Linked DNA regions of Oryzias latipes. The protein of the gene in region 1 interacts with the protein of each later gene in a biochemical or structural test. Links are inferred from orthologs where the notes say so. Each region holds a gene or a part of one and is shown in the gene's direction. Other genes may lie near its edges. The genes, in order: sumo2, eme1 and tubulin beta-5 chain.

Evidence for each region.
Region 2: the proteins of sumo2 (region 1) and eme1 form a complex in vitro, tested with the Homo sapiens proteins (2 studies listed by BioGRID). The link is inferred for Oryzias latipes from reciprocal best matches to the Homo sapiens genes SUMO2 and EME1.
Region 3: the proteins of sumo2 (region 1) and tubulin beta-5 chain form a complex in vitro, tested with the Homo sapiens proteins (2 studies listed by BioGRID). The link is inferred for Oryzias latipes from reciprocal best matches to the Homo sapiens genes SUMO2 and TUBB6.

The regions. Positions count from the first base shown.
Region 1 is NC_019866.2:13,020,431-13,031,734, forward strand, and holds sumo2 (small ubiquitin-related modifier 2), read left to right. Parts: upstream 1-3,439; 5' UTR 3,440-3,457; coding exon 3,458-3,478; intron 3,479-5,942; coding exon 5,943-6,074; intron 6,075-7,085; coding exon 7,086-7,157; intron 7,158-9,297; coding exon 9,298-9,360; 3' UTR 9,361-9,377; downstream 9,378-11,304. Other genes in the region: nuclear pore complex protein Nup85, read right to left, coding at 1-28, 222-378, 454-544, 2,522-2,554; jpt1 (jupiter microtubule associated homolog 1), read left to right, coding at 10,117-10,445. UniProt on the Homo sapiens protein: Ubiquitin-like protein that can be covalently attached to proteins as a monomer or as a lysine-linked polymer.
Region 2 is NC_019877.2:24,362,881-24,374,201, forward strand, and holds the start of eme1 (crossover junction endonuclease EME1), read left to right. Parts: upstream 1-4,537; 5' UTR 4,538-4,773; intron 4,774-5,696; exon of another isoform or gene 5,697-5,777; 5' UTR 5,778-5,789; coding exon 5,790-6,348; intron 6,349-6,430; coding exon 6,431-6,558; intron 6,559-6,639; coding exon 6,640-6,753; intron 6,754-7,147; coding exon 7,148-7,269; intron 7,270-9,649; coding exon 9,650-9,788; intron 9,789-10,652; coding exon 10,653-10,768; intron 10,769-10,843; coding exon 10,844-11,033; intron 11,034-11,321. Other genes in the region: mrpl27 (39S ribosomal protein L27, mitochondrial), read right to left, coding at 858-1,064, 1,478-1,545, 2,370-2,498, 3,811-3,853. UniProt on the Homo sapiens protein: Non-catalytic subunit of the structure-specific, heterodimeric DNA endonuclease MUS81-EME1 which is involved in the maintenance of genome stability. In the complex, EME1 is required for DNA cleavage, participating in DNA recognition and bending.
Region 3 is NC_019878.2:4,235,622-4,245,986, reverse strand, and holds the end of tubulin beta-5 chain, read left to right. Parts: intron 1-924; coding exon 925-1,033; intron 1,034-1,107; coding exon 1,108-1,218; intron 1,219-3,656; coding exon 3,657-3,772; intron 3,773-4,708; coding exon 4,709-4,837; intron 4,838-4,908; coding exon 4,909-5,727; 3' UTR 5,728-5,893; downstream 5,894-10,365. UniProt on the Homo sapiens protein: Tubulin is the major constituent of microtubules, a cylinder consisting of laterally associated linear protofilaments composed of alpha- and beta-tubulin heterodimers.

The DNA.
Region 1 (11,304 bases):
TCTATAGTTTTTACTGATGCTGACAAACCTATAGAGCAAAACAGGAATTGTTTTTTTTTTTTACTTTAACACTGTTTGACATGAAATAGTTACATGTTGATGTTTTGCCTGTTTTCTTTTTCAATCTTTATGTCATCCCACTGATCAAAAAATTAAAAAGAAAATGTCAATAAAAACTAATTATTTGTGTAAGCTGAGCGGTCTCTCATCAGGAGACTTACTGAGGTTTCTTGTTCTTGCTGGGCAGATCCTCCCTGATTGTTTGCAAGCCAACAAAAATGTGATGCGACTCGTTAAAGAGTTTGCGCAAAATAGGAGAGTAGATGTCTTCATCTTTCCGGACTTCATGGATGAAGGGGGAACCAGATCCTGTTGCACCTGAAACACAAGACAATAGAAAGGAAACAAAGCAAGAAGACTTGCGAAAGTATTGAAACTGAAATTAACACATACCTGTTGCTTTGAAGAGGGTCTCATAGACAAAGATATTACCTTGACCCCATGCAAAGCCCATATGCTTTCCTCTTCTGAGTGCAGGAATATTCTGTATTGAGAGTGATAACACAGATTTCCAATTGTAATAATCTCTGCAACATTCAATAGAACATTATTGAACATCACTAAAGTGCTTATTTGACCATTTCTATCTTGTAGCAAAGCTTTTTGGGATTCAATCTAACTAAGTTTTGTTTCCTTATATTTAAAAAAAAGACTTTCAATCAATATCTACTGAAAATCCTGCAAAAGTACGTTCTTTACAATCATAAGGCATTTGACACGGTGAATCATGAGATTCTTTTGTCTAACTTTTCTATGGACTCAATTCAGTGGATAAAATCATATCCAGAATTCAGAAAACAGTGTGATTGTATTAACAGTGTCAAATCAACTCTCTTAGATGTCCCTGTTGGTCTACCACAGGGATCAATACTTGGGCCTTTATTGTTTTCTATGTATATTAATGATCTGCCAAACACATGTGGTAATGTTGAATTTCAAATGTATGCTGATGATGCTGTCATATTCACTAGCGCAAAAAATATTCAAGAAGCAGCCTCTATTCTTACCTCAGCTCTGGTTCCTGTAAATGAATGGCTTTCTAAATCTTGCTTACTGTTAAATACAACTAAAACTGTTTGTATGATGTTCACTAAGCAACCAGTGGACATCAAGCATTCAGGTATATTTTTGGAAGAACGGGAACTAGAAATTCTATCTAAATTTAAGTATCTTGGTGTGACACTTGATTCAACTCTGAGCTTCAAGAGCCATATTAAAAAAATTCACTTGGAGCTGCTAGAATGTTTTTGCATTCAATGATTCTATCACATATTGAATACTGTATTACATGTTGGTCCTTGCCGGGTGTAAATACGAGCAAAACCATAGAATCACTTTATAAAACAATCACTTAAGGTCTTAGATAGAAAACCAATGTCATTCCATGTTTGTAATATCTTGAAAAAGTACAAGTTGTTGAGCTTTGAGAATTTTAAAAATTTTAAATTCGCTTGTTTGATGTACAAGGTGTTACATGGACTTGCTCCGCCTCCCATGTCTGACTTTTTTTAAATAAGGTCTCACAGCGCTCTCAGGACTAGGGCCTCGTCTCGAGGGGACTGTGAGGTTCCACACAGAAAAACAGCCTTTGGACAAAACGCTCTTTCTGTAAAGGCCAGTAAACTCTTGAACAGTCTTCCATTGTACATAAGGGAGTGTCAATAATTACAGACCTTCAAAACACAGCTCAAGCAGTGGCTGAAAGCAAACCAGTCCTGTAACCACTGACTTTTAACTCTCATAATGTACCACTTTCTTGTGTTCTTATTGTATCTGTGACTGTGTCTTTTGTTTTGTCCTGTTTTATGTTTCCTGCCTAGGGACTAGGGATGCAAATTAGCATCATTGCTATAATCCAGCATGTTTACGCCTATAATCATTGTTTGGTAGATGTTCATTAATGTGCACTGTCCCTATTAAACAAAGCTTAAATAAAATAAAATCATTTTAAAATGTCCTGGCTTTCAAACAACATTCGATTTATTGCCTATTAGTTGCAATGTTACAACCAACACTCTTATGGTTTTCTTTTGCCTTTCTTAGTTTTAATCCATTGGACACATGCAACAGGATATTTATTTACCTTGACATTAAGACAGAGACTGGACTCAAAAATGTCCAGGAAAAGACTTACCTTTCTTTGTTTGACAAAGCACAAAATAACTTAACAAAACGTAGAAGACAAAAATAACGTTACATTTTGATTTTCTAACCATTGTTCCAAGTTTGTTTCTTTATATCCAAGAACATGTCAACTGTGACATTGTTTTAGCTACGAAACCTCCAACTCGTAATGTCGGTCCGTAACATTTCATCATAAACTTTTGTGTTTGTATCATTAACTACTAGTGTATTTTTTTATTCCGAATTTTAGGATTTACAAAATTCAAAATGCTTAGCTAACTTGTTAGCTGCTATTCGATAGCGCATAACAATAAACTACATAGTACGAAAGACTTACGGTTATCGTCGGTTCAACGTCTACCTCCTCCATCGGATGAAACTTTTTAGATCCTTTTAAATTTCAAACTATGAACTTTTTCACCTTAATCATGCCATTTAACACGTGCTATAATATAGCAACGCTTGCGCGCCTCTCTTTTTCTACGACTATCTCGCGCATGCGTCAAATGTAGGACTGTCCTACTTAATGCCTGTTTTGTTTTTTGTTTTTTTAAATTTGCAAGTACAGTACTTTCTTTTACTTTTAATCTACGTCAAGAAAACTGACATGACTGAAGCAAATAACACTATCTTTAGAATCGATATACATTTAAAAGTCGAAGTAATTTTATTCCGAAAACGTGTAACATATTCTCAGAATCAGGAAGATACAATCGTATCATATTGTTAATATACATTAAAACGTTATATAAGTTAGCTATCTTAGAAAATATATCGCCATATCGGTAAATGTTGTCGTTTAGTCGGTGCCTGTTTTTTATTGTAACAAAAAAAGAAAGAAAAACCAAGATGGCCACTGGGCTATAATGAGGGGTTAAAATAAGGAGAGTACTAATATATCACGCTGTACATCTAATACCGATCATATGGGCGCTTTATGAAACGTGCAGCACTGATACTAGTCTTCGGCGTGACGATGAACAGATTTCCTTCGTATATAATAGACCTAAACCAAAAACAAAAGGGAAAAATTCTGCCGTGCGCGTGCATGTGAAGCCGAGTATCTCTGTAACGCGCAGGCGGTAGTCTCCCGCCCATAACTAGACTGCGCTTTAGTCCACGTGACTTCATGCGGCCAATTAAATCCTTGTTCAGTGAACGCGCATTGACACATGCCCGCGCACGTTTCCCCGAATAATTTAAACGGGAACGAGTACGTGCGCGCACTCATATTCTTTGTGTGGTAGCATAGAGAAGCGCCAAAAGAGTGACGATGGCTGATGAAAAACCAAAGGTAAGTGACCCCATTGTCAATTACGATGCTATTACAAATTAACTGGATCGCCGATCTTAAAGGTGAATTTACATTCCCGCGTGTGCTGTTCGTATTTTTTTAAATAAAAAAGTTAAGTGATAAGATTCAACTGTACCTACTTTGATGGACCGGAAGGTATGTGAGCGCGCATGGACTGGCGCGCACGTCGCTTTTAGGCTGATTACATCCCGCCAACCAGCTGGTGTCGTTCTCTATAAATCTTGCGGTTTTCTTGCGTTGTGTTTGTGTGGTAATTAAGTTGTCTGTGTTTTGTAATGACGCACCAGAATGGAAAAAATAAACAAGAAAACGAACTGTTTGTATTTAGTCTCTAGACTAAACTGTTCTAGTCAGTCTGCAACACTTTGGCTTGACTCGTTGAAGAAAACGGGTTATAACAACTGGATACCAAAAATAAAATATTCAAATACTTGAAACTAATATTTAACAATGAATACGTGTTTTTTAGCATCTGTTTTTCATACGGCCTACAATTATGTTTCTATCCCTGGTAATTCTGGTATTTTATCTTTTTATTTTTCCACTCTGACAAACATAAAGAACTATAGAACAAACAATCTGCATGATAAACATTGCAACCCACTTGCCTCACAAAACGAACCTTTTTTGTAAATAAATAAATTAAATTAACTTTTTTCTGGTACAACAGAATGGTTAAATCCAGGTACATAGGTGTGACTTGTTGTGTGTCTTGGATCGTGTTTCCTTAAGTTAAAGGTCTTCTTAATTGGAGGACAGGTCTTCTTAATTTTTTTTCTTAGTCTCTAAATTTTGAATGTTGAACCCCAAGAAAAATGGTTCCTATCAATAGGTGTGTTAATGGTCAGAAAAGCTCTGAGCATTGAAACAAAGAAAGAAACCATCGAGCTGCACCTGACGTTCAAGGTGCGTCCTGCCGAACTGTATGACCACGGGGGAACAGCAACGAGGTCAGAAAACTATTCAGAGATGAAGATGAGAGGCAGACGGAGGCAGAGCTCATCTGCGAGAAAGTCAGGGTATGAAGAAATAAAGAAGTACAAATGCAGAAGGAGCTAAAACAGAAGAAGAAGAATCCAAGGCTGTTTGAGTGGCCTTGCACGGAGAGGTAGCTAGGACCGACAAAGCTGCTGCTGAGAGGTTTGCAGGAGAATTTCAGGTGTTAGTTTGGGAAGAAGGCCACAGCCCTCATCAGCTTTTCAACTGAAGCAAAAATGGCCTCTTCTGGAAGAAGTGACCCAACTTGCATCACCAAGGAGGAGAAAAGACCTCCTGGACACAAACCCATTAAGGAAAAACAGAAGGGGATGACTCTCCTCAGAAGATGAGAAGAGCAAAAGGTCAATTCCTTCCATCACCATCAAGAACACACTTAAGAAGTAGGACCAAGACGTCCATTCAGTGGCACCCCAACCAAACTGAAGTCTACAGACTAGTGAATTTGTTGAAGGTCATGGTCATTTCAGGAACATACTCAAAAATGGAGGAGAAACAGACTTTGGCTAAGTTCTTCCAGCCAGGGTGACTAAGAAACTTCAACCTGTTGAAGCTAAAGAACAGACCTATTCTCCACTCAATATTAGGCCACTCAAGGAGAGTCCGTCTCACCTGTCGGCGCTCTTTTGATGGAGCTGGAAATTTTATTTCCCTACATTATTCCTCTTTTTTGTGGCGATGTTGCACACATTGCCAGATTTCACATCGACTTTGGAAAATCATGTCATCCGTTCTACAAATTTAAAGAAAAATAGTATTAAAAAAAAGAATATTCAAGAAAGAAAAACCAGAAGAAACCAAACCAAATGGGGGCAAACATGCTTTATCTTCTTAATGCCTGCTGCACCACCTTTATGGTTTTATTTACACGTGTTTGTGGTTTTCATGGGAACCTGCCACCAACAAGTAAGTGGGCGATTATGATCCCACATGCGATGTAGTTTTGGTGCGACTGGCTGCTGTTGCCATAGTGGTCCTGCCCAGAGGACGGTCTGTACCATTTATCACAACCAGAGGCTCTGGCCTGCATTGTGTAACAGAGGAAAAAACAAACATGCCCAGGTTTGCCATCACACTGGCGTCCAGTCTGTTTGTTTTCAATAACCTAACCAGGAGATGGGGATGATTGGCGGCTTTTAAGCACTGTACCGAGCCTTGCACCGAAGGGTAACAGTCTTCATCTGAATGACACGGCACACAACTGTCTGGATTTGGCCTTTTCCCCCAGAAAATCAATTGTTCGCTGCAAACAGGCTTCGTTACGTGATGTTAATTTGTTTTGCGAGGCATGCAGGCATCCAAGGCAGATAGTTTTTTGTGTGTGGGGTATTTGTTATGCAAGGAACCACTGTTATTTGTGTCTAAAATGACCTGTCCTGTTTGTTGTTTCTTAAACCGTTACAATATTTATTTATTTATTTCTTTATTTATTTATTTCTTTTTGTAGGAAGGAGTGAAGACTGAAAATAACGAACACATAAATCTAAAGGTAGCAGGTCAGGATGGATCTGTCGTGCAGTTCAAGATCAAAAGACACACACCGCTCATCAAACTTATGAAGGCATATTGTGAGAGACAGGTAAGTATAATCCCCTATTAGACAACAAACACACAAAACGGTGGCGATTCAGGAAAACTATCATAATCACAACGCTTATACAAAAAGTAAAGGTTCGTTAAAAAGTAGTTAGATCATTTAAACTTTGTATTACCCAAGGAATATGTTTTTATATCCCTATATAAGCAAAAGTATTGTGGAAAAAAAAACAACAACTTATGATCGCTTAGATACAAATGGGTTTTAAAATTAGGAAGTCTGTGAATTTAAAGCAGGTCAGGTATTTATTTATAATAAATATTAATTTGATGATGCATTCTACATTTTTATTATCTTATGTGAGACTTTTGTTACTTTCTTTTATACTATGTTATATATGTGTGTGTTTCATTGAATTATTAATTGAGTTATAAAAAAGTTAGAGCTAACTGAACCCAAATATAAAATATTGCTCGTAGCTCTTGTATTGGCTTGTAAACGCCGCAGCAGTTTTTTTTTTTTGCTTTGTTTTTTTTGAACGGGTTCATAAACGCTGTTGTTTTTCAGGATTATAACTCGATTACCATGAAATGTTTACATCTTTTCACATCTTTCTAAATAATAACAAAAAACTCCTTATCTTATCCCTTTAGGATCTGGGATTCTCTCTACTCACTGAAAATGTAACCTATAAGTTAAATGAGGTTCTAATAGTTGAAAGCCTGAATTATTGTTTAATCTACAGCTTGATTTTCTCTGTATGACACAGCATGTGTGTGTTTGTCAGTGTAATGTGAATCAACTCTGACCTGTTGTAGGAAAACAGTCTTTCCTTCAGTGTCTCACGTCTGTGCTAATAATACATAACATGTGACATTATACATATTAATTAGTATATTAACTATGAATAAATACATTTATTACATGTATTGTTTTTTTTAATAGAACCACACAATTTTTGCTTTTTTTATGTATATGAACAGGAAATGTGTTCCAGTCACTCTAACGGAAAGCAGGCCTTTTGCTACAAATTAATAAGTATTGTCTTTGCAGGGACTTTCAATGAGGCAAATAAGGTTCAGATTCGACGGACAGCCAATAAATGAGACAGACACACCTGCACAGGTAGGACTGATGATATGCAAAACCTGCTGCCAGTGGAGTTTATCCCAAAAACGTGTTATAACAAAAATCCTTTATATGGGTGGATGAAGATAAAAGTAATGGATAGGTAGATAAATAGCTTGTTGAGTAGATTTGTAGGCTAGCTAGCTATATCTATCTATTTATGCTAAATACTTGCAACATAAATTAGGCAAATCTTGATGAATTGGCTGAACAATATTTCTTTCATCTTTTTTAGCAGGGGTGTCCCGATGTGATCACGTAGTTTCAAACTCGATTGGAATCCGATGTTGCGATCAGATCAGGACTCGGATATTTATTTTATCATTATTATATATTTCAATCTTAACTTTACAGATAAACACTTTACCAGATGTCTTCAAATTCTGACCGGATCCCAACGTTTTACTGCCATAAAGTGCAGCAGACAATGAGGCTAGGAGGCGCTGAAAGACAGTTTGAGAAGGTTAGCAAGATATTCACAGATTTGGACCTTCAGGCTCAATAATTCTTAAATGAGCACTTTAAACTGACAGCGAGTGTCATTGTCTCAACTCAAACAACAACTTAGAAAGGCGTTTAAAAAGAAAAGGGATCGAGCTTTGGTTACTTTTTAATGAGAATTGCTCTCTCCGTGCTGCTGACAGAAAGTCGGCAGTGAAAGGTGAAAGCTCTGGGAAAAAGTTATTTAAAAATGAAAAAAAAAAAGAAATCCATTTAAAAAAAACTAAAACTGATAAATGGTTACATTGATATGAGCTATTCATAAATATTTATGTTACAACAACAATTTTAAAAGACAGTCATCATTAATTTTAATGACTTTTTAATGCAAGTATGAATCACATAAGAACCAAAAATGTTCAATAATTCTGAGGATACTAAAGCTACAGTCACCAAACTTTCTCCCATGAATAATTATTTCCTATTTTTTACTAGTTTATAGTTAACTGTTCTTTGTAGTTGAAAGTTTTACGACTTTTGCTTGATTCTTTGAGTTATTTCACAGCGGCAAATTGTTTAAGTGTTAAATAATTAAAGAAAGTGAATAAAGTAAAAATCTGTGATAACCTGACTTCATTACATTTGATCATTTTTTATGTGTTACAATAATATCGGATCAGGCCTCGGTATCGGTACATACTCAAAATCAAATGACTCTGAATCGGATCGGGACTTCCTTAGTTTTTAGTTCTTGTTCCAAAGCTGGTCTGACTAAATCAATGCAGCCTCTAAATTAATGTATTAGGTTTAAAACATTCATGAGGTTCTTTTGTTGGGTTTGATCAATAAGCCATGAATCTCTGTAGAAATGAGCACATATGTTTTAGGCTTCTTTTGTTTAAGACCCATGATGTGATTCTGTTATTACCTATTTTCATTTTATTTCTTTTATTATTTTTCTCTTAGTAATGCAACCAGAACAAGATAACACTCACATTTTGGTTAAGAAACTCTTTGATTTCTAACGAAAACCAGGCCATTTACTTCTTTTATTTTTTGGTTTTTATTCCATTTTTTTATTTATTTTTTTTTTGCTTTCTGGGCTAGAACTTCACTGCAGTTTAGAGCAAACAGAAAACCCTCCGAATATTGAAGTGTAAATGAATAAACTTGTTGGCCATGCAGGTATTTCATATCCTCAAGCAGCAGCTTGCCGTGCTTGATGTCTTGATGCCAGATAATAGCGCTTCCATGGGAAACTTGTTCTGCCACAGGCAGAGAGGATTTATCATCTACATTCAGATGTCTGACGGAAACCTTTATCCACTTGTAGAGTTTGTTACGACGGCCAACGCACATGCACTGAATTAACTTCTATGATTGTATTATTGTAACCACACCATTGTTGTTTGAGGTTAAAGTGGTATTTTTGCTGTTCAAGGCAAATCTGTGTGCATGCTGTAGTCATAAAAACATCCCGCACTGTCATTTCTGATGCAGCTTTGGGGTTTGATATGCCCAGGGGGCAGAGTGTCAGCCCAAGGTCACATTCCACATGAATGGAACATGATGACATTTGCTTTTTTTTGCCCCCTTTATTGTAGAGAATTTCCCCTCTTATTTTAAAGATTAGATGTATTTAAATGTCTGAAAGGTATGTCTGTATGTATGACACTTTGTCCCCTTTTATCAACAGTTGGAAATGGAAGATGAAGATACAATTGATGTGTTTCAACAGCAGACGGGGGGCCGGATTTAATCAGCCACACATGCTGCCAGCCTCCTCTTCAACTTCGCCAGCATGCCACGCCACCCAGCAGCTGGCTCTCTGCGACTCTCAGTTGTGCCGACAGAATTCCACGCAGAAGGTTTAATTTCTCTGCTACACAAAACTGCTGTATGATATTTTCATCATGGCCCCCGTTACTTCTCTGCCCGTGTACATAAACTACATCCAGATCACCTCCAGTTCTGGTCATTTATTCCGTAATCTAGTAACTAATAACCTCCTGTCCCAGTTTAAAAGGTTTATTGTAAAGATGCTGTCTGCTGGGGCTTGGATTTGAGCAAGTTGGACTCTCACGGTCCATTAAAAAAAGGAGAAAAAAAAGAAATCTGTTTTTAAGATATACAAGTTGTTGGGTTGATTTCACTTAGTGAGCCATATACCTAGTTTATGGATGGAGCTTGGTTATAATTTACTTTTTCTTACCAACAGAAAATTTGGTTTTATACTTTTTATAGGGTATTGGATGTTTAGAAAACGAAAAGTGCTTTGTTAAGCTTCAAATTTGGAAACCAAAAGGATGTTTTAGTTCTACAAACTCCCATATTGTCTATGAAAATTGTCTGTTTAAATAAAGTTATTGTCTTTTTTTTCAATATTTTTCTTTTTGTCTGTCATTAATTCTAGTTTGCTTATATTACTGGTTAAAATGGACAGAAAGGTCTTAGTTTTGACTGTCAATATTAAATGAACGATCTTCAGGGATGAAAGCTGTAGTCATTTATAAACATGGGGACTACCACCAGCAAGATGTTCGACCTCTTGGGTTCTGTCCAATCAGAAAAGAGTTCTGTGATGTCCTGTCCAATCAGAGCGGACGATAGGCTGGTGGGCTGGTCCTTGTGGGCTGGCACCGCAGAACCAGCAGATCTGGGCTTCCCAACGCTTTTCCAGTTTCGGGTGGAGTCCGCAGCGCGGCGCATTTCTGAGCGCAGGGAGGATTTCTCCTTTTGTCATCCGTTTCACTGCTCCTTACAGCCGGGACGTCTGAAACCCCCAAAGATGACGACCACCACCACCTATACAGGAATGGAACCCGGTGCTAAGAGCAGCTCCAGGTAAAAGCAGCTGGAAACCTTTGGCGGAGGAACAAAAGAAGCGGGGATGCGGGGAAGTGTTTTAAGCTAGCAAACGCCTTCTTTTTTGTGTGCTAGTTTTGATTAGCGGGTTGTGGTCCTGTGTTGTGGAGAAGGTTTGAGCCGCACTGTCACACACAGACAGTCTCGCTAATTAAGTTAATCTCATTGGGCCTCGGAGGCTCCAGAGCCCTTTAGCAACATTAAGTTATTTCAGTTAGCTCGTGGGGTTCGGAATGTCAGGCAAAAAATTAGCTAACCGGAAATATTTATCTTTTTCTGCAAAGGACTAATCTTTATTTATTTCTATCATTTAAATTAAAAAATGTCAGACTTAAAGTAACTGTTTCTGCCTATTTACTTCACCTTTTACTTGAAATGGAGACTATAAGCGATTGATAATTTTAAACATGCCATCGTTTTAGCCACACCGATTTAATGGATAGTTTAGTCTCCAACTTAGGCTGCGACAACGTGCAGACAGAAAGGGGGTATTTTCTGTGGGGACTAAAAGCCCCTGAAGACTCACGCTGCAAGCACGCAGTCCTTTCTGGAAGTGATGCGTCTCGTCTGGATCATCATGCATTCTTCCTCCTCCTCCTCCTTTTTTTGCAGTAACAATGAATTTTGTCTTGGTGCTTGACTGTAGCAGTTTTTAGGAATAGAAGCGATGATGAGGGAGGGAGAGCTTGATAAAACGTCTGATCCTCAAGTGTTGAAGTGGTGCTTTTTTTGGGGGGGGGGATAATGCAGGGGCTTGGGTGGGGGAGCTAGCTAGTCGAGCTTTCTGGAGGTTTTTTTTTTTTTTTGGGGGGGGGGGGCCTTGTATGTAACCTTCATT
Region 2 (11,321 bases), on another chromosome or scaffold:
CAGGTGGCGCCCTGCAGTCCCCTTCAACCTGCCTCACAGCCACCCCCCCCCACCCCCATGGTCCAGCAGCGCCAAACTGTCCGAATCAACTCCACGGAGGACGAGCTGATGAAGCAGATGTCTGACCTCTGCTGGCAGATCTGGTTACTGCACGTGAGACCTGTTGAGGTTTCTGATTGGTCCATTTATAACTTGAATTACTTACACTAAAGAAAAAATATCACGAAAAATGAAGATTATCCAGAAGGTTTTCTTTTGATTAAGGTATCTGAGTCCAATATGCTGAAAGTTGGGAATGATTTTAGGGCAGAAAAGTGTGAAAGTCATCTGCATAACTGAACAGATCAAAGGTCAAATATTCCCATTCAACAGACATTTCTCTCTAGACTTTTCCTACATTTTTGTTCCTCAGACTTCATTTCTGCTCATGTACTTCATTTGTAAGTCGTTTTGGATAAACATTGTCTTAATTGCAGATGATAATTTAAATCAGTCCCCCCCCCCCACACACACACACCTCTCACAAAACACACAAAGTTCAGCTCAGAGGAACCGACGATGGTGAGGGTTTATCAACTAAACTAGAACACGCGTGACTGCGTGGGACAGATGGGTGAAGTCAGATCCGACATGCCAAGAAGCTTTTATACAAAACTTTAATCATCACCATAAAGCTCAGCAGCAGCTCAGTCCACACCTGGGGGGGCCCTGGAGCTCAGTGAAGACAGACGGGACCTTCAGCTTCACGGTGAACTCCAGCACAAGTCTGGACGTCCTCCACAGCAGAGCTTCCTCTGGACCGCTGCTCCACTCGCATCGGAAAGTCTGTCATTTCAGCCCCGGAGTCCTGATCCCCGTCACACCTGATCCACCAGCCTGAACTTGGCCTCCTGTTGGACGGGCATCACGTTGATGAAGGTTTTGTAGAGCACGGCGCCTTTGGGCAGTTTTGGAATGATGGCGGAAGCCTCGGGGCTGCGCGGCGGTGGGATGTACACCTCCTTGGTGAACCTGACGTGCCCGTCCTCCAGAGCAAAGAGGGTGTTGTTGGTGCCCATGCCCACCTTCAGAACAGAGGAGACAGAACCAGAACTGATGCAGGGTTTCCATGGAAACGTCCTCCAGCTACAAACAGACCGACTGACCAGACTAATAATATTTAGGATTATTTTCCTTTACGTGCACTATAGGAAACAAATCTAAGAGAGTTTTAAATCAAAATTCAACAAAAGCAATGATATCCAGAAGAAATATTGACTTATGCCTCTGAACGTTATTGTTATTACCTCACAAAAGACAAGACACACAATGGTTAGAGGAGTCGATATCATTAGAAAACTGATGATGTCAATTCTCTAAAATGTCAACACTGGACTTAAAGCTTTGGTGTTGAAGAGTTAAACTCCAGAGCTTCTGATGCAGCCATCTTTGTTCCATGTTGTGCTTGTGTACGTTTGTACTGGTTACACAAACTTACGTGCGCTCCTGGGTGAAACCTCAGCTGCCTCTGCGTCGCCAGGATGTTGCCGGCATGAACAAAGTTCCCTGAGGAAACAGGAAGAAGCGTCAGAGCTCCTTCAGGAGTCATCAGGCCGTCACCATCAGACACACCGCTTACATGTAGTTTATTGTACAAACAGGCTCACTATCATCTTTCATGACACAGCAGTTCCAAACTAAGGGTGCATTCAGCCTGGGAAAACCGCTTGTTCCAGAGCCGGTCAGCTTCATTTGGTCCGGATGGAGCTCTGAAACTTGTGCTGGGTCTGTATTCAATCATTCAAACTTTATTTGTTGCTGAGCGGTTTTAAAGGTCTGTATCACTTTTTCCTGCTGCTGTGGTCCGGTAGAGGCTGCAGGCCGCTTACGGGCAGGAAGACGTCCTGGAAGCTACGCTGATAAGTGTTAATGATGCATAGATTGTTGGGAAAACAGGGAAAATCACTGTGGATCACGTTAAAAGTTATTTTAATGAGCCTGCATCTCATGGAGTTGCTGTGTCTCATCACAATATTTTATCAGAATTCTGTTAAGGAACTACAAGGTAGCCTATAAGATGATGTCACAGTAGCCCTGGCCGTGTAACGAGACACAGAAAAGCATGTTTGAATGTATGAAAAATCAGATCCATTTTTGAGACAATGTTGTTCTCCATCTTTGTTGTTGCTTTTTTGGGCTAAGACTCGTTGAAATCCTATTTTAACAGAGAAGAAAAACCTTTATGTGGGAACACTTTAAGCCACAATGAACCGCCTTTGAGCGAAACCACGAGACAGAAGCTTAACTTTGAGTTCAGAGAAGAAGAAAAGGAACCACGTTTGTCCACAAACACAGTAGAGGACGAGTCTGAGACGGACGGCTTTGGTTACCGTCTTGTTTCTTGAAGCCGTATCTGCGGCCGGGGCTTTTTCCTCCGACGTTCTTGGAGCTCCCGCCTGCCTTCTTAGAGGCGAACCGAACCGAGTCCAACAGAGACGACTGAGCAGAAATCAGGAGACCTAAAGCAGGTCCAGAACCACAGATCCGTCAGCAGAACAGAGCAGCAAAAATGGAAACTATGGTGACCAAGTCAGAACTGATCCTGCTCCAGAACTGATGTTCTGCTGTGTCTGGAGGAGAAATTCACATTAATGGGGTTTTTAACTCTGGATTCTGCCGTCAACCGAACATACCATTATTTAAAACTATTTTTATGAACTATTAATAATACAGTTTGCATTTTTAACAAGACACAGAATCTGTTTGTGAAGTTTAGGCCATAAACTGTTCCAGGATTACATTAAAGTTCTGTTTGCGTTAAGTTTGAACGCATCGCCACAGATCAGCTACATTTACAGTTATTACTGGATACCCCAGTATGCTGCAAGTTAGTATTTTATGCATTTTGATAATCCAAACATAATATCTATTGATCTACAAACGTTCCAATAAGAGACATAAGTGGGAAAAATAAGAAAACAATAAATAATGTTATTATCTGTTTAACACTGAAAAAGACCAAATTGAAAACAAGATTTTATAAATGAGTTGAATTTTTTAACCATTAAAACAGGAAGAGGTGTATTATTTAGGCTTCAAGGGTCCCGCTGGATAAAAGTGACATCACAGATGACACAATATCTAACTATGCTAGAAAAAAACAAGAGTTTCTGTGATGAATGAAGAAGGTTGCTTTAAACTTGGGCCAATAGTCCATGCAAGACCATTTTAAGACTGATAAAGCAATTTAAAAGAAGGAACTTAATAGATTTTAAAAAGAAAGATATGTTATTTAACACAACATCATAAGATAATATAGAAGACAGTCCCATAGTCTCTTGTTGTGAATATGTTATTTGTTGTCAGGTTTAAATTCTCCTACTTTCAAGCTAAAGCGAAAATTATATTTGCTTTTTTTATTATTATTCTCTGGACAAAATTAAAAGACTCTTCAATTTACTGTAACAGGTTTATCTCCATCGTGTGGTCATGATTATGATCGTCAATGTGCCAAATTCCACCTTAATAAAAATCCTCCTTAACCATCGAAAGCTGGCTTCTGTGTCACAAAGGGGCTCTAATGAAAATATAAATGGCAACTCAGAAATTGAACATAAATTGATCATATTTAGAGTTAACACAAACTGCTAACTTAGAGAAACGTCGCGCGGCTCTTTTCCAGGTTAGCATCATGTGTCGCGTCTTTATTACGTTTTACAATAACTCAAGCCCCAAAATAAGACAAACAGACGTGATAGTCATCTGATAGTTATCTCTAAAATCTCTCTGGCGTGTTATATGCTTAAAAATAAGGACCCAGTCAAGCCATACCTGCTCTTGACTTGAAACTCAAGGACGCTAACGCCGCCATCATCACAGACGTCTCCTTTAAGTCGACCTCAGTGCGTCACATCCGCTCGTCTGTGTTGCATTCAGGTTCCTCAGAATGTAGGACTTTCTGATGTTCGCGAATTATTCAATATACTGTCGTATTCGAGTATTCCAAATTGAAATATGGTGTATTTAGAATAAATTCTATTTATGACTATTGTTACTATCTAAATTATTTAATTTCTTGCATTTTGTGTGGCTCCTGGAGACAACCGTGAATGTTTTTTGGTGTTTTATAAACTATGAATGAGATACTGCTGAGATCTGTGGTTCTTTGTTAGTACAAGAATCGGTGTCTTTTGTTAAAGCAGCAAATCTTATCTGGGACATTGTAACTCAGTTTTTAGTCTTCATCCCTGACACATTTATGATGCAGAACACCAGTTCAGAACATGTTAAATAAATTGTCTCTGTTAAAGAGTTCTTCAGCATATTCAAAATTAAATACCCTTCTGTAAAACCATTTAGAATATATAATTACTAAAACAGTACATGGATGCGTTTGTTTTTCTATTTTTTCACATAATCTAGGAAATCCTGTTTTGCTTAACGCGTAAGCATCTGTCAGTCTACCATTTTTCCACTTGTCAGAAGCTCCTTGTCTTCTATACTGTTGTTTAACAACTAAAACACAAGTGTGTTAAGACCACAACTGTAATTTCCCTGCATGGTTTGAGGTGAGCGGTTTTAGTCCCACGGGCATTGAACGCAACGCCACCCCGGTAAATCAAACGTAAAAGGCGCGAGTTCAGCCGGCAGTGGTGGGTACTGGTTACAATTTTAGACAGCAAGCAGAAGGCGTTCGTCCACGCAGGGAATGAGAAATCACTGATTAGTGCCGCCAGGACCCGGATCTGAGGCCGCGAGCAACTAACACCTGAGGCCGCGAGCAGCTAACCTGAGGTGGGCTAACCAACCAGTGACGGCAGGTCTGCTGTGGGGATAAAGGCTGCGTTTGGTTTCGAAAATAACAAAGTGGAAAAAGCTTGTGTGTGTCTCTGTGACACTTATGATAATAATAAAAACCGAACGCTCTGATATTTAAAACAGTTAAAAGTGTCCGAATTCCCACCCTGACCTCTAAATAGTGCACTATAGAGCATTCGCTATTTTCTAGTGTTGTCTGAATCTACAATTCCAGAATCCAGTGCTCCGGAAATTTCCCAGAAGTCTCTGCGAAACGCCAGTGTGCATCGATGCTCACTAGATCGACTAATATATACCACAATGCATTGCGTCGGAACAATTTTTGCCAAAAAATATGTATTTAAATCTATTTTTTAAATAAATTATGCACATTTTTATCTTTAGAAGACAGTGGACTCATAAATAATCGTCGTAAAACGCTCAAATTAATTAGATTTTAACTTTATGAAATCGATGACGTCATATTCACCTTAAAAAAAGCAGTGAGTATAGTGTTTGAATTGCTTTTAAAATTCAGGGCACTACATAGTTTTTTTTTAGTAGTTAAGGGTTATGGAGGGAAATTGGACAGAGCCAATTGTTATTTTAATTCCTAAAAACTTTTGATTTAAGCTTTTAATTTATTCGTCTAAGATTATTTAAGATGTTTATATTTGGACATAAAAATATTATTTATCTAGTCGATCAACCTTTTCATTGTTATATTTTTCTGGTAAATGTTGGAACTTCAAAACTTAAATCAAGGTTTTTATATCGTAAAAAATAAATGGATTTTCTCCTTCTGACTATCTACATTTTATAGACTTGAAAGGGATTAGAAGAAAAACACATCTGCTGAAACTCCTGCTCTGGTTTCTTCTGTCTGCTGAAGGTTCTTGTTGGTTTGAAACCTGTTTTAGGTTCTTGGGTGTTAAGTCTGGACCCTGAACCCTAGACCCTAGACCCTAAACGCCTCACTGTCACGGGATCGGGTCTTTCAGGGACTTGGAGGCATGAGCAGCTGCAGCAGCACTGACCTGGATGAGGAGCTTCCGCTGTTCGACTTCCTGCAGCCGACCCAGCGCTGCATTCAGGGCTCTCCCACAGAATCCGAACAAGCGGCAAAGACTAAAGCCGGTGTTCCTCCCGGAACGGCAGATGTCATGATGATAAGCAGCGATTCAGATGATGATTACGCACCTCTGGCACAGAGACTCAAACCCAGCAGTGATCCCTCCTCTGTGTCCGGCGGGAAAATGCCTGACGGTGGATTCTCGTTGAGTCGATCCAGCTCCTGCCAGAACGGCGTTGTAGCGGCTGGGCTTCCTCCTAGTGTGAGACGGGAGGAGCCTCAGAGCTGTAAAACCTCTTCTGCCTGGAGAAATCTGACCAAGCGGCCAACCGAGGAGATCCAGACGTCTCTGGAGGAGGCCCTAAGGAGGAGGCAGGACAAGGAGGCACTCAAGCAGGAACGGGAGAAACAGAAGGCAGAGAAGAGAGCTGTGGCGGAGGCTGCCAAAGCCCTGAGGCCAGAGGAGTGCATCAAACACATGGTGGTAGCCGTGGATCCAGGTGAGGAGCATCTGAAAGAGGTTTGATGCTGGCAGCAGGACAGGATTTAGCTGCAGAGCTTCTCTCATGCTCACCTTCACAGCACTCCTGCAGCTTGAAGGAGGCGGGGCTCTGCTGGCCTCGCTGCAGGCTCTGGGCTGCAGCTGCGCCATTGAAAAGCAGCCCCTCCCACGCAGCATTAGCTGGATGAGGAGAGCTCCACCTGCTCAGGTAAGAAGACCCGCCTCGAGCCACCTGCGATGGATGGCGGAGTGAGACGTGGCCTCAGAATAAAACCAAAAACCCAAACAGAGTTCCAGCTCCTCTGGAGCCCAGCTGGGGGACGCAGCTTGTGTTCCTGAGACCCCCGTGGTGATGCAGATGACGGTGGAGGACTTCATCACTCTGATCCACAACTTCATCCAGGTGTGTTGCAGCAGATGGAGAGCCTGGTCACCACTAAAGCACAAAGGTTTTCCTACAAGCGGCTAAAATTCAAGTTTTCCACTGTTCTGGTTGGAGTTGTGTGTTCTGGGCTGTGGAGCAGATGATGCTCTGAGTATTTACAGACAATTGAGCAGAGATGAAATGATGGACAAAATTCCAGACATGAAAATCCAACCGCTACATGACAGTTTTACCAGGTAAGGTCTGCTGATAGTCATCAGGGTCAAACAGAACTAACTAAACCTTCACGGTTGGATTTTCACATCAGTTGAGACCAACAATGTTCTGATAGAACCCCCCACGTCTGATCCGGAGTGAGAAGAAGAAACGGTGCGGTGCAGGTTCCTTTAAATCCTTTTCCCGTTGGAACCAGGAACAGAAGGTGGGCCGCTCTGACTCGGGTCCCACGCTGACGGCCTGGGTGCAGCAGCAGCAGAGGCGTCAGCCCAGGAAGACCCTCAGCCTGGCAGTCATTGAGCTGGAGAAGTATTTCAGGTGGGAATGAAGCCAAAGCTGTTCTTTGGTTTCCATTTTTTGTATTTCAGGGCCATAGGGGGCAGTTTTTTCTGTATTTCACAGACCAGGTTTTAAGGCGCGTTGGCACGTACCGGTAAAACGTGCCAATGCTAGTGGGTGTTTTAAAAAAAGGCAGCGGGAGCAAAACTGAGTTGGCTGTGATTTATTTTATTTATTTTCAGTCATCAATCAGCATCCAAACATCCATCAAAGTCCTCATCTTCTTCCTCTGAAAAATCCCCATCCGTGGCAGTTTCTGTCCATCAGCACGGCAGCCAAGCACAACAGTAAAAGCCCCGTTATGCGCATCGCTGCCGTGCTGCTCCCCTTCTTCTCCACAGTGTGACTCACCAGGATGCCAAAAGTGAGCGGCGCCTCGTCCCAGCTGGTGATGTGGCTGGGCTGGATGTTTGTCGGCAATCTTTTTGCTGCAGTAGCAGCGGAAGATGGACAGCTTTCCGTTGTGATCTCCTGGAAGTTGCTGCACCACCATAGTCCTTGCCCAGATGGAAGCATGGCCCCCTTTTCAGAAAACCTCCTAGAAAATGTTCAATCTTCCTTTCCTCTGCAAGCGTTACTGCCTTTAGTCGAATGGTGACTGTAGAGACGCTCCTCCCAGCTGTTCTCTGATCGTTAATCCATCGCTGCAGTCCGTCTTCCGTTTCCGTGGAAACTCAGCTGCGTCTTCTCGATTGTTGGAGTTCGTTTTCCAGCTTCCTCCGCTTGTGAACCATGGATTCATTCATCTTGAATTCTCTTTCAGCTGCTTGATTCGATAGCTTGCAGTTTAAACTGTGCTTCATAAGCGTCTCTTTGCATTTTTAGGGTTTCCAAAACAATGTTGTTCTGCATAATGCACATACCTGCACTTTAGTACCATTCAGGGGGGTGTCTTCTTCCACGTCCTCACTTCCCTCCTCACCGTCCTCATGCTGTCCTCTCCTACGTCCTCTTTACCCAACTTAGCATTAGGCCACCAAACCATAGGGGTCTCTGTACATTTTGGAGAAAATGTAAGACTTTTAAGTGCGCCTTATGGTCGTGAAAATACGGTAGTGTTAAAGACGTCAGTTACATATTTTGAAGGTGAGTCATGGCACGAGGACTCCAATCTTCTTTCCCCTTCAGACGGATGAAGCCACTCGGATGAGTGGTGAGATTTTAAATGCAGATGCTTTGACTCAACTTTCAAGACATCACCTACGTGTCAGTTAAACCTTTTCTAGAATGTTTTTCAAGAGTTTTTTCTGCAGCACAGCAGGTGTTCGCCTCTGAGTTGTCAGCGTGACGGTTGGCACAGAAGTAACCCTCCTTGTCTGCAAGTGGATGCATCAGAATGGAGCGGAGCAGGGAGACGTTGGCCCGCCTATTTCAGTTGCTGTGTAACAAACATGAGCTTTTTCCAGACGTGGGTTCCTCATCCACCATGATTTGGATCAAGGAAAACTCAGAAACGCAGTTTTAATCTTCAATTATTTGACACAAGTCCTCCATCGTGAGAAAATTGGCACAAGAACTCGTTAAAAAACAGCAGTAGCACGCTTTTCGTTGGAATGGGTCTTTAATACACTGAAAACTGGAGCTTTTCTCCAAAAAACCAAATCGACCAGCTAAGAACTTTTTAAATAAAACAACCAAATCAGGAGTGAGTTCAGGAGATTCCTTTGATTTATAGGTAGCTGTACACATGACAGTGCTGTTGCTCCTGCTGTTCACCTTTGTTTTAGAACAGGCGGTTTGCTTTAGCCGTGTCCTGGGGGAGGATCCCTCCTTCATGTGGACCCCCCTGAGCTTTCTACGTGTTTTCTTTTAGGAGGGTCTCCGGGCAGAGATGCCAGTTTAGTTTAGTTAGTTCAGTTTAGAATCTTTCTATTGAAGTGTGTGTTCATGATCCTTTTGATTCGATGTTTTACTACATTTATCTGCACAAAGCCCATTGAGACGACTGTTGTTGGGATTTTGGGCCATACAAATGAAATGGAATTGAATTGAATTGGTTTCTGCTCCTCTTGGCCCCTGTAGGGGCCACTGTAGGGGCCACTGTAGGAGCCACTGTACTTGCAGGAGCCCCACTCTGCTTCCTGTAGCCCTGCTAGTCTGTTCTGAGCCATTCTCCTCTGGACTTTGAGTTTTCTTTTGATTTAATCAAAGGTTTTAGACAATCTGCAGTATTATTGACTTACTTTCAAATATGGAAAATAAAATAATTAATCTTTTATAAGGGTAGAAATGATGAAACGTTTTGTATTCTGTGTTTTACTGTGAAGCACTTTGTGATTTTCATCTTGAAAGGTGCAATATAAATAAAGTTTAGTATTATTATCAGTAACTATAGCTAAACAATAACTTTTATTTCTAGATCACAGAAATCTGTGAACCAGAAGAAGTTTAAAGCGGCCGTGAGGAGTGAAACATCAGCAGGAGGAGGAGCTAAAGAGAAGAGGAAGAAGGGTGGGGCTGAGGCTTTGCCCCAGGTTTCCAGAGTGCAGGTGGAGGAGGTAGACTCAAACTCAGAATACTTACCGCAGAGCAGTGTTTCCATTCCTCCCCCATATTTTAATAATCCATTGTTTATTTTTTGGACACAAACGAAAACCTTTTCCTAATTTAACCATTTAACATCGGAGACGTCACCGGCGACGCCTAAATAACACGTTCCTTTACGTACCGTAAATCCTCCACCGTTCATGAACGTAGATCAGGTGATTCTGACACGCAGAAAAGCGGCTCTGCAGCAATGTGAGCTCATCATCTCATTACTGAGGGAAGGTGATGCACATCAGCAGAAAGCTGCTTTTCTCCGCCTCAGAATGATGTTGATTGTCCAAACGGTGGAAGAGTTATGGTGATGTAAGAAAGGAAACACTGGAGCTTAAGCTGTGCTGAAAGAAACAGACAATTTATAGATTTACTACATTGGAAACTTTTCAGATGTACAATTTAAGAAAGTACATATTTGGGGGGTTTTGTTGTATTTTTAATGGAAATCAGAAGAAGATTTCATTTGTATTTGTAACTGTTGATGTTCAGTCTTTCTGTGTTATACAGTATAATATACAGTATGCTAACAGCTAACCTGCTGTGTAATAATCATACAGAAATGTCTTTCATAGTTCATTTAAACAACTTTTAAAACATTTGATCATTTTTCCTGAACTTCTGAAAAGTTTCTTTTTTTAAAGCAAACTAACATTTTTTCTTTCAAAACTGAAAGCTGGCAAACATTTTTCCACCTTTTTCAAGCTTGTAAAACAGAACCTGTGATTGTGCAGCGTGTCTGGCGTTGCAGACAGGAAGTGAGGCGGCATCGATTGATCTGTGGGCGCAATAAGCTGACCGCACTGCTTATTCCGTCCCAACAGGCCGTGGTTCACCTGCAGCTTCATGCTGGCATCTCAGTCCACTTTCTGCCTTCATGGAAAGAGTTTGCCGACTATATCGCCATGACAACGAAAGCCGTGGCGGAGGCGCCCTTCAAGTGAGCCGTCTCCCCTCTGTGCTGGTCACCGATGCTGCGGCGTCAGTCATTCCCCGCCATTGTCCTTGTTTTCAGGAGGGAGAGGGAGAAGACCGGCTTCTCTTTCTACCTGGAGAGCGAGTGGGCGGGAGGCCATCGGGTGGACAGAGGTGGGAGGGGCCTGCTGCAGGTGTGGAAGAGGCAGATCCAGCAGTTCAACAGAGTCAGTCCGGACATGGCGGCGGCCATCCTGGCAGCGTATCCATCGCCGCAGCTGCTGCTGCAGGTTTGAACACAACTGCATGAATGCAAACGCTGTGGGGTGTCTTTAAAAATTCCAACATCACGTGTCACACATCACGTGTCACACATCACGTGTCACACATCACGTGTCACACATCACGTGTCACACAGCCAAACACACATTTAGTGCATCATGCACAGATGAGAACTGGTCATAGATGAATATTCGTGGACAGAGGGAGAAAAGTGAAGGTCTTAACGTGAAATTTTCACAGATGGATCACGAATGAACCACACAAAGAACAAGTAAATCTAAGGAATGGATTCTTTT
Region 3 (10,365 bases), on another chromosome or scaffold:
TATCTGATTATTTCTTACTTGCAATGACTGCTGAGGCGTGTTTTCATGAACTAGATCATCTTTGTATTCTTTGAGATTTAAAAAGGCCCAATCCCAGATTGGAAATGAACAGAGGGAGCAGAAAAACTGCATTTACTTTTTTTTTAAAAAAAGTCCGTCAGTCCTGCTCTGAAGCCGATGGGTGAAAGTGTTACTGTTTCCAAGCTGGATCTGCTGTGTGAAGCTAATTTTAGCTTTGGTGAAGGTAAACACGGGTGACACTAAGCAGCTCTTCAGTCATAGAGACTTAAATGAATTCCATTTATGGAGAAACAGTTGGTTGAATATTTGTTTGAGTGTCTCTGTAGTTTGAAATCACACGCTTCTGGTCTGGTGTGTGTGTGTGTGTGTGTGTGTGTGTGTGTGTGTGTGTGTGTGTAGGGGGGGCAATGACAGGAATCCTGGTAACACAGTTGCTTCTGCGCTCAAAGCTGCTGTTTGTCTTTATCTCCAACGTGGTGACGTCTCCTCCAGAGGTCCTGCTGTTGGCAGCCACAATGCTTCAGAAACACTAACACTGTTTTCACTCAAGACTCTTCTGAAAAGATGGGACCAGATGGCACAGAGACCTTAGTTTAAATCCAGCAGGTAAAAGTTTAGATTGAGTCTGGGAAAGGTTGGATTTCTCCTGCGTCTGAAGGAGCATCTGTGCCTCTGAAGGCTCAGGAGGGGGTCCCAGCTGCTCTTTGGATCCTGGCTTGGCCTGCAGAGCTCCACCCTTCTCCGACCGTCAAACTTCACACATCCTGTTGTGTCTCTATAGTTTAAAATACTTTGAAATGAAGCAGGCAGGAAAGAGTCAGTGAATGCACCATGAAGCACCAACGCTCTTGAGTCAGATGCTGCAGAAGTAACCCCCCCCCCCCATTCCCGTGACTCATGTAGTTCTGGGAAGTGATCAGCGACGAGCACGGCATCGACGCTGCTGGAAACTATGTGGGAGACTCGGCTCTGCAGCTGGACCGGATCAGCGTCTACTACAACCAGGCCTCCTGTAAGCGTTGGGGGTGGGGGGGCTGCTAGTGTTGTGTTTGACTGCGGTTGACTTTCTGACTTCTGTGTGTGTAGCACATAAATATGTCCCCCGCTCAGTACTGGTGGACCTGGAACCAGGAACCATGGAGAGCGTTCGGTCTGGAGCGTTCGGACAACTGTTCAGACCCGACAACTTCATCTTTGGTATGTTTGCTTTGTTCGTGTGGAGGGTTTAGGTGTCCTTAGAGAGGACAGCAGCTGAATGAATTTCTGATGACTAACGAACCAACACAGCTAGTTTGGAACCTGCAGAAAAACCTGCTGCTGTCCTCCGGATGTCTGCGCTCTGAATTGTGTTCTTTGTCTTCTATAGGTTCAGATCAGAAAGGTGAGTTTACCCATAAACTCAGGCAGCTAATTGTTTCATCGTCAAATTGTCATGCTTATTTTGAATAAAGTGCCAACATGAATATAATGAACACATCTGCATCACACTAGGTTATCCTGAACGACCTTATTCCAGAAAAGAGCAAAAATGACCATCTTCTTCTAAAATGTAATTTATATATATAATAAAATAATTGATTTTCTGTTATTTACAGTTCAGATCTGTGGTTAACACCACGCCACTGTCCTGGATCTGATTTAAATCCCACTTCAGTGTTGGCAGTGTTAAGATTACTGTTGACAGAGGTGGTGTTCATTCTGCAGGCAGATGGATTACATTAATAGTACAAAAAAATTCCATGATGAAACACATTTTCTCCAAAATGTCTGGATATTCCTCAGGGGAAAAAGTTTTTCTTTTCATATTTAAACTGCATGAACGGAGCAAGTTTAGCTCGTGCTGGTTTGCGGCACCTTCCGTCCGTGAAACCAGGGTTCAAAACCGGGCTGCTCCCTATTCCCTTCTCTGCAGGAAGAGCATCCGGCATAAAACATCGCCAAGTTAACCATGCGACTCATCCTCGAAGGAGAGGTTGTTTCACTGTGGCTGATGGGAAAAGCCAAAAGAGAAAGAAGATTTAAATTCTATGAACATTTTTTTTTCAATTGATTCCAATTGGTGCTCCTTTAATGTTCTAAATGTTTGTCACAGTTATTAGCGGCATTTACATGGAAAAAAGTAATCGGAAAGGACGCCTGATCGGAAGAAAAATGCGTCATGTAAACACACCGTTCGGAATAGTCTGCCCCGATCAGACTTGTTCAGATCAAAATTTCTTTCCAGTCGAGACAGGTGGGTTATGCCGATTGTTGATCCGATCGTTGTTCATGTAAACGGTTCATTCTGATCGTGTGTCACTTCTGCTCTGGTTTAACGTCATGCATAGACGATGTTTCGATCCAGAGAAAGTTTTGGAGCTAAAACAGGACTGACCGGTTGCTCTGCGGACGCCCGGTGCAAAGCGCCACTCCGCCCACACTCCGCTGGTTCTTCGCCTCTCCCGTCTCTTACACCCCTCACAAGGGGGTGCCGGGGAGGAGGGCTTCGAGGACCCTGCGCGGTCCGGGCTCGGGTGCCGGGGATGAGCGAACTGTGTTTCTGAGCAAAGCAGCCGTGTATAACTTGTGTTTGAGGGGAGGGGAGGAGTCTTTGTTACGTGTGCGTTTGTTACTGCGATCCGTCCCGCCGCTCTGGGTTGGCGGCTGCCGGACTCAGAACCATGTCTCCAGGTCACACAGCAGCTTTGGGGTGGTGTGTGAGCTTTTCAAAACAGAATGTCGCTCAGTCCTTAGAAAATGTTCAAACAATCACGTAGATTTGTGTTTCCAGTCGTGTCCTGACAGAATAAAAGCTGATATTATTCCCACATATTAAGTTTCAGCCAAGATGCAGATTGCGGCATTTCCCGCATGGATTTATGTTCATCAAAGGCTAAATGTTGTTAGCGCGTGTTAGCCTTCACCTATCCTAACCCTTCTACAAGCTCCGTTCTTTCACAAAAAAACACTGACCACACGGATTAAAAATAAAATGATGAGTGAACAGGCGCTTCATAATATTCATTACATTAATAAAAGCATGTTTGGAAGATCGTCTTGTATATTACAGAGCTGCTGCATAAATGTATATGGCAGCTAGGTTTGTTTAAAACAAGACTCCTTTCCTCTTCCGAGATTTTCAACACTACTCCGCATGCCCAAATGATTTATTCCGACTGAAAGTGTGACCATGTGAACGCTTCGGAAAAAGGTTTTCTCATCCCACGTGCACGGTTGAATTTTAATCTGACCATTGATCCGATCAAGATATTTTGTGCATGTAACCGCGGCTATTGACTGTATAAGAGAACTGGACTGAGCGTGACGTCACCTATAGAAAACGGTTTACTTCCGCCTCTAACTAAGTGAAGTCAATTCAGTCTACATTTTTCAGTGATACAGAGGCGCCACGTTTGAGCCTGACATTGTCCGTAAGCAGTGATTGGTTCAAGTCGGTCTGAGTCAACATTTCTCTGGGAACCACTCGCGGTACCCAAACCCAAAGTGCTTTACAGTCACAGACACATTCACACACACATTCACACACTGGTGGCGGTTGAGATTACCCACTCAGCTGTGATGATTAAGGAAAACTCAGTGTAGGCATCTGCTCTGCTAAAAGTTTCAGATTTCCCTCATGGATTTTCTGTCTGCAGGTCAGACAGGTGCGGGTAACAACTGGGCCAAGGGTCACTACACGGAGGGGGCGGAGCTTGTGGACTCGGTCTTGGACGTTGTGAGAAAGGAGTGTGAGCACTGCGAATGTCTGCAGGTGAAACCCTCTCTCTAGAGTTTTTTGTAGAGTGATTGGTAACATTCAGCTGGTGGGGTGGGGGGACTGGATTAAGTACTGGGTCTGGAATGACTGGGCTTTGAGGGGAAAGGGGCCCAGCAGGGTCTCTCCCACTCGTGTTACCCTACAGTGGTGCAGTTGTTCAAGCCCACAGTGTGGCCTCAAGGAAAGATGTAGACGTAAAATCTGTTGGTCATTGAAGGAGGTAAATCTGAACTGATGAGATCCCATTAAAAAAAAGAAGAAAAAGTAATAAAAATAAAATTGTATTTTAGTTGTAAAAGTTATTATATATTATTATATGTAAATTAGAAGTGGAGAACTTCAGGCCTTGAGGGACATGTCCTACTTTCTTTAACCCTTGTGCTATATTGTGGGGTCAAAATGACCCCACCCTTCCATTGACATGTTTTCCCTACCATGACAAAGGTGGACAAAGGTGGAAACATTTCATGTAATCCATGGAAACCAGTGAAGATCACAAATCATTGAAGAAAAAAGGTTCAGAGCACTGTCTAGTGGGTCCAGCTGACCCCACTCCTAATGTCAAAGTGCCTTGGATAGCACAAGGGCTAGAGATGTTTTTCTCCTGTTGTTGACAACCTAAGGTTGCAGGGGTTGTTGACTTGTTTTGCAAATTAATTAATTAAAACAGATCATTTGGATTTTACTCATCGACTGTGTATGAGAACTGGAGCGAGTGAGTGTGACATCACCTAAAGAAATTGACTAACTGCCAGCTCCAACCAAATGAAGTCATTCAGTCACCAGATTTTCATGACACAGACATCGCCATGTTGGAACCACATGTGGCCGGTAAGCAGTGATTGGTCCGAGTCAGTCAGTCCAATAGAGTCAATGGCTTTACCACATCACTGAAAGGTTCACATATAAATAGCTGTAATTTGTCTGCAGGGTTTCCAGCTGACACACTCTCTGGGGGGGGGCACCGGTTCAGGCATGGGCACCCTGCTTATAAGCAAGATCCGAGAGGAGTACCCCGACCGCATTATGAACACCTTCAGCGTGATGCCGTCACCAAAGGTACCTCCCCTCTCTGAAACCAAACTCTGTGATTCTCCTCCATGTCCTCTTCATCCTCATCTGTCCATCAGGTGTCGGACACGGTGGTGGAGCCCTATAACGCCACCCTGTCGGTCCACCAGCTCGTAGAAAACACAGATGAAACCTACTGCATCGACAACGAAGCCCTTTACGACATCTGCTTCCGCACCCTGAAACTCACCACGCCCACCTATGGCGATCTCAACCACCTGGTGTCAGCCACAATGAGCGGCGTGACTACCTCGCTGCGTTTTCCCGGCCAGCTCAACGCAGACCTCCGCAAGCTGGCCGTCAACATGGTTCCGTTTCCCAGGCTGCACTTTTTCATGCCGGGCTTTGCCCCTCTGACGGCGAGGGGCAGCCAACAATACAGGGCGCTGACAGTACCTGAGCTCACCCAACAGATGTTTGATGCCAAGAACATGATGGCGGCATGCGACCCCCGCCACGGCCGGTACCTGACGGTTGCCACGGTCTTCCGTGGACCCATGTCCATGAAGGAGGTGGATGAGCAGATGCTGAACATCCAGAACAAGAACAGCAGCTACTTTGTGGAGTGGATCCCCAACAACGTGAAGGTAGCCGTGTGCGACATCGCACCGCGGGGGCTAAAGATGGCCGCCACCTTCATTGGCAACAGTACAGCAATCCAGGAGCTGTTCAAGAGGATCTCGGAGCAGTTCTCCGCCATGTTCCGGAGGAAGGCCTTCCTGCACTGGTTCACGGGAGAGGGCATGGATGAGATGGAGTTTGCCGAGGCGGAGAGTAACATGAACGACTTGGTCTCAGAGTACCAACAATACCAGGAGGCCACAGCCAGCGATGGAGAGGAGAACTTTGAGGATGAAGAGGAGGAGATCCAGGACTGAGGAGCTGAGTCATACAAAGCAGAAGAACCAACGTGATGATTCCAAAAAATAAACCGACAAATAAAAAGCATTTCTAAATCATTAAAAAAGTCTTTTTTAAGTCTTGTTTTAAATTTTAGCATTAGGACAGCAAATTGATATAATAAAGATGGAATTTTCTTATCTATTAAGACCAACAACATTATTGAGCAACCAACCAGTGTCCACTTGATTTTATTTTTATTTCTGAAAAACAGTGATGACTGACGTGGAGCTCAGAACCCTGGAATTGTTATGGCGGGGTTTCCTGAAGGGGCAGAATAATTGGGCGATAAAAGTTTTGTTGAAAACCTTAAACTGTTTTGTTTATTATTCTGTTTTGATATTTGTAAAGGGAAGAGCGGTTTGGTTTGAAAAAAACCTACATGACCTTTTTTTGCCTTGACACTTTTTTTCCTCTTTTAAATTTATTTCAGTGTGCCATTTCAAACTTTACAATTTAAAATTTTTTTTCTTGAGGTTAAAAGGTTTAAACAAAACTGTTGTAAATCTAACTGCAAACTAGTTCCTATTGAAGCTTTTGTGCTGAACGTTGGTTTAAACTTGGTGTTCCTGGAAATACCAACCTGAATGTGGAGCTTTAAGTTGAAAGGCATTTTTACTGCAGCACCATCAGAACCCGTAAATCCCCGGCCTTCATTTCACAGCAGTTCTGTTTGTGGGGGGGGGATTATGAGCCGAGCGGCGGCAAATCTTGCTGCCAAAGACAAAATCAGACAGTGGATCAGCTCTTTGTGTCTGCAGCGTTCATATCGCATCAGCAGTCGCTTCAGCTCCAGCTGAGGGCTCGGTTTGTGGACTGCTGGCAGAGCCAAAAGACAAAACTTAACTGGAAAACAAACCATAAAAATATCTTCTTCATACTAATTATTCTAGATATACTTAATTCTTGATTAGGAATTCAATCTGCAATTTAGTTGAGCAGTTTTTCCAATTTCTGATTCATAATATAAAAAATGAAAACTTGGTCTTTTTCATTTATAAATAAAACCTTAATTTCAATGTAGTGAAATTCTACTGAAAATGCATTTCGCATGTGTTTTTAAAAGGCATTTTACAATTCAATCGAACAAGTGAGAGTTAATAGTCTAATTAAAGCTAATCCCTCTGCATTTGGTGGATTTGTCAGATTTAATATTTATTTTTCACTTGACTTCAGAGGCCAATCAGAAGCTCCTTCATTGTTTTCATGGTGCCTTAACCTTGTGTCTGCTAAGTCAGCTTATTTATTAAGCTCCAGGTAATAATTTAGGTCATCTGAAGGTGTTGCACAGAAAGCAACCAACACCAAACCCAGTTAATTACTTTTGATTGTAAAGATCCATTGTAGTCCAGACATTTCCAATAAGGTGATTTTAGTAATGGCAAAGTGACCTACAGATTACAGGAAAAGATTTTCTGTTTTTCCCACACGGAGCAAACAAAAGGTGACAGTCAAGAGAAAACTACAAAGGAATCTCCAGCTGCACTAGACTAAAATTTCAAATTTCTCCATCTCCTTTATAGCTCACTTTATATCTGGGGGTCATAATCACTGACAACAATTAACATCACACCTTTAACTTCCAGCCCCAACCTATCTGACCCTCCCTTCACTTCAGAACAAACTCCTCCTTCAGGATCTTTTTCTCTTTCCATTTACACCATGATAAAACATCTTGAAGCTGCTTCCAGTCTAAAAACTTTGATCTCTTTCCATCTGGTCTGTGAAAACCCATCTTACCAAAGTTTCTGCTCTAAGTTCTTCACTCCTGTCTTTCTCTCTCGGTCTACAAACTCGTTTTGGTCTTCTCCTTCCAACAAAAGTCCAACTTCCACCAGAACACTATTGATCAACAGCACCAGTTGTTGTTAACTCAGGTCACGGCTGATCCATGTGAAAGTTCTGTTTGTGATTAACATGACTGATGAGACTTTGGTTTCAGGTCAGATACCCTTCCTGACAAAACTCTGCATTTACCTGAGCTTGGACTGGAGCATGAAAGAACTGGACTGGGCCCCCTTGTGGTTGGATTAACTGGGATCTCTGGATTCAGAGGCCAGTGCAGGGATAGACAACCCAGGCCTCGAGGGCCGGTGTGTCTGCAAGATTTCCGGAAATGTAATGGTATGAAATGTGAATACCATACATTAGCACAGAGCATTATGTCAGCTAAATGGAAAAGCATTAGTGATGGGAGTGTCAATACCAAGGTATCAAAATACAGATTCCCGAATGTCACCAAGTTTAGTTTAAATATTAAAGTATTGAGATGACCAATGGTTATTAGGTGAGATATTCCAGCATTTAGTGCCAAAACACACCCCACCTACAGCATATTGAACAGCTCCACGAGTCATGGGACCAGACGAGCCACGAGCAGCACAGCATGAGCAGGCGATTTTAGAAAGAACACTTGAATTTTGAACCTTTCACAATAAAGTTATTGATGGTATTTGTTCTTAGGATAACAAATAATATGCATGAGAAAAAACTTAACAATAAGAAACTACCAGTAATCTGTATTGCTACAATTGAATACTGTGTATCAAATCCTAAAAGTGTGTTATCGCCCGTCACTAGAAGCATCATTATTACCCACTGAACCTGATGCTGACAATCACACTGAGCTGTGACTGAGGGAGAACAGACCAACATGAACAGAGTTCAAAACATGAACCAAGACAACTAAAAGGCACAGAATGTCAAGAAAAGGTCGCCCTGCTTTTTACAGGCCAGAAGGTCAGGGACTTCTCTTTGCTGTAATGTACATCCACAATCACCAGGGGGCGACACAATTTAACATTCTAACTGTTTTCAGGTCCAGACTGTCCAACAGAGTTTACATCAGGGATGAAAGTCTCAGACCCTCTTCTGTTTTAAACGGCTGTGTCACAGCTGAAGGTGCTGCTGCAGCATCTCTAACACACTGCAGGAGAGGCAGCTCCCTCTAACGAGCCGACTCGGATAATTGGCTGCAGATAAGCAGGAAGTTATGAAAGGGAGATCAGTGGTTCTGTTCTGTTTACGAAATCCCGCTCTGCCATCGACCACTGAGCAGCAAAGATGTTTTAATTGGCAATTAGAGGAACAGAGTGGCTGCAGGATCCTCCTCTGTCTTGCAGCCAAGCTTTGTTTTTTTTTTTAAATCTTCTTGTCTTTGTGTTTCTGCATCATTGATCTCACTGCAGGTACAGCTGTTTGACTCTGTGGGCAATTAAGTGGACTTTTACAGGAAAAATGTATCAGCAGAGCCTCTTACTGTTTGGTTTTATGAGGAAAAATAGGGATAACTGAACTGATCACTGGCAGTGGCGCCTTAAAAGGGGGGAGGGCTTCCAGAAGAACTTCTGTTCAATCCATTCCCCCTCCGAAAGGGTCAGCCCTGCGACACACCGGTGACCCCGCCCTCAACGGTACCTGGGATAGGCTCCAACAACCCTGAAACCCCAAAAAAGATTGAGTTTGGAAAATGGATGGATGGTTCATGGATAATATGTTCATAGAAGCAAAGAGATAGTCATTCAACATCTGTCTAGATGTGCTGCTAAGCAGATCTAGATCTGTTTGGTGTCTGGACTTCCAGGTTCTGCATGGGATTTTTTTCAGTCATTAAAAAAGATGAGCTGATATAGTAGGTTGAAACAAAGCTAAATGATCTTATTCTGAAAGAAAATGCTTCATTCTGCCCAATAGTTCTAACAAAAACACAGTAATGCTTCACCTTCACTGGGATTAAAGGAACTTTTCCCCTGCATCAATAGAAACCTGTAGTCCTGTAGATGTTAGTTAAGTCTGAAGACTAAATTTGTTCATATAGTTGGGGTAGGCATTGGAAGACGGGGACAACTGAGAAAAGAAATCATGATGAAAGAGAAATTAAAGATGAGATGTAATTCTTTTTTATTTATTTCAGGTTGTGGTGAACTTTAAATAGTAAGCAGTCACTCTTCTTTCTGTTTTTTGATGGAGGATTTGTCTATAAAGTACTTTAACGTCCCATTCTGATCATCTTTTGATCTGTTGTAAAGGTGTTTCCGGTGGTCTTTTAATTATGGTAATGCCCTTTATAGCCAAAATCATAAAAACCTGTGTAGTTTTTTAGGACATAGTCTCTGCAGAGCTGCAGGAGTTCATTAGGAATAAGAAATGATCAACTGTGCTCAAACAAAAGAGACAGTAAACATGTCTCCATGTCCGGGTTCATGGGAGCTTTTTAGAGCTGCGTCAGAATGACGTTTTCTTTTTTTTCTCTTCTCAGCTGACCCTCCATCTCTCTCTGTTACCCAGTTTGATGACTTGCTGTCCCGTAACTGTCAGGGGAGTAAAACTATATAAAAGTGAGCCTAAAATCTGAGGACTTTTTTCATTTTGATAATTATTTAAATGTGTGAGTATTGATTACACCAACTGGCCTATAAAATGTCTAAAATTGTCTTTAAATCCATGAAAGAGTTAATGGTGGGTTCTGCAGCATGTGTTTACTGCCTCTATGGCTCAAAATTACCAAAACCAGCAATCGTTTATGTGTCAGCCAAACTTATTAAAGAGGTTGGTGTAAACTGGAGCATATTCCCCGAGCGTTCATCATCAACAGTTTCAGCCAAACAGTCACAGCA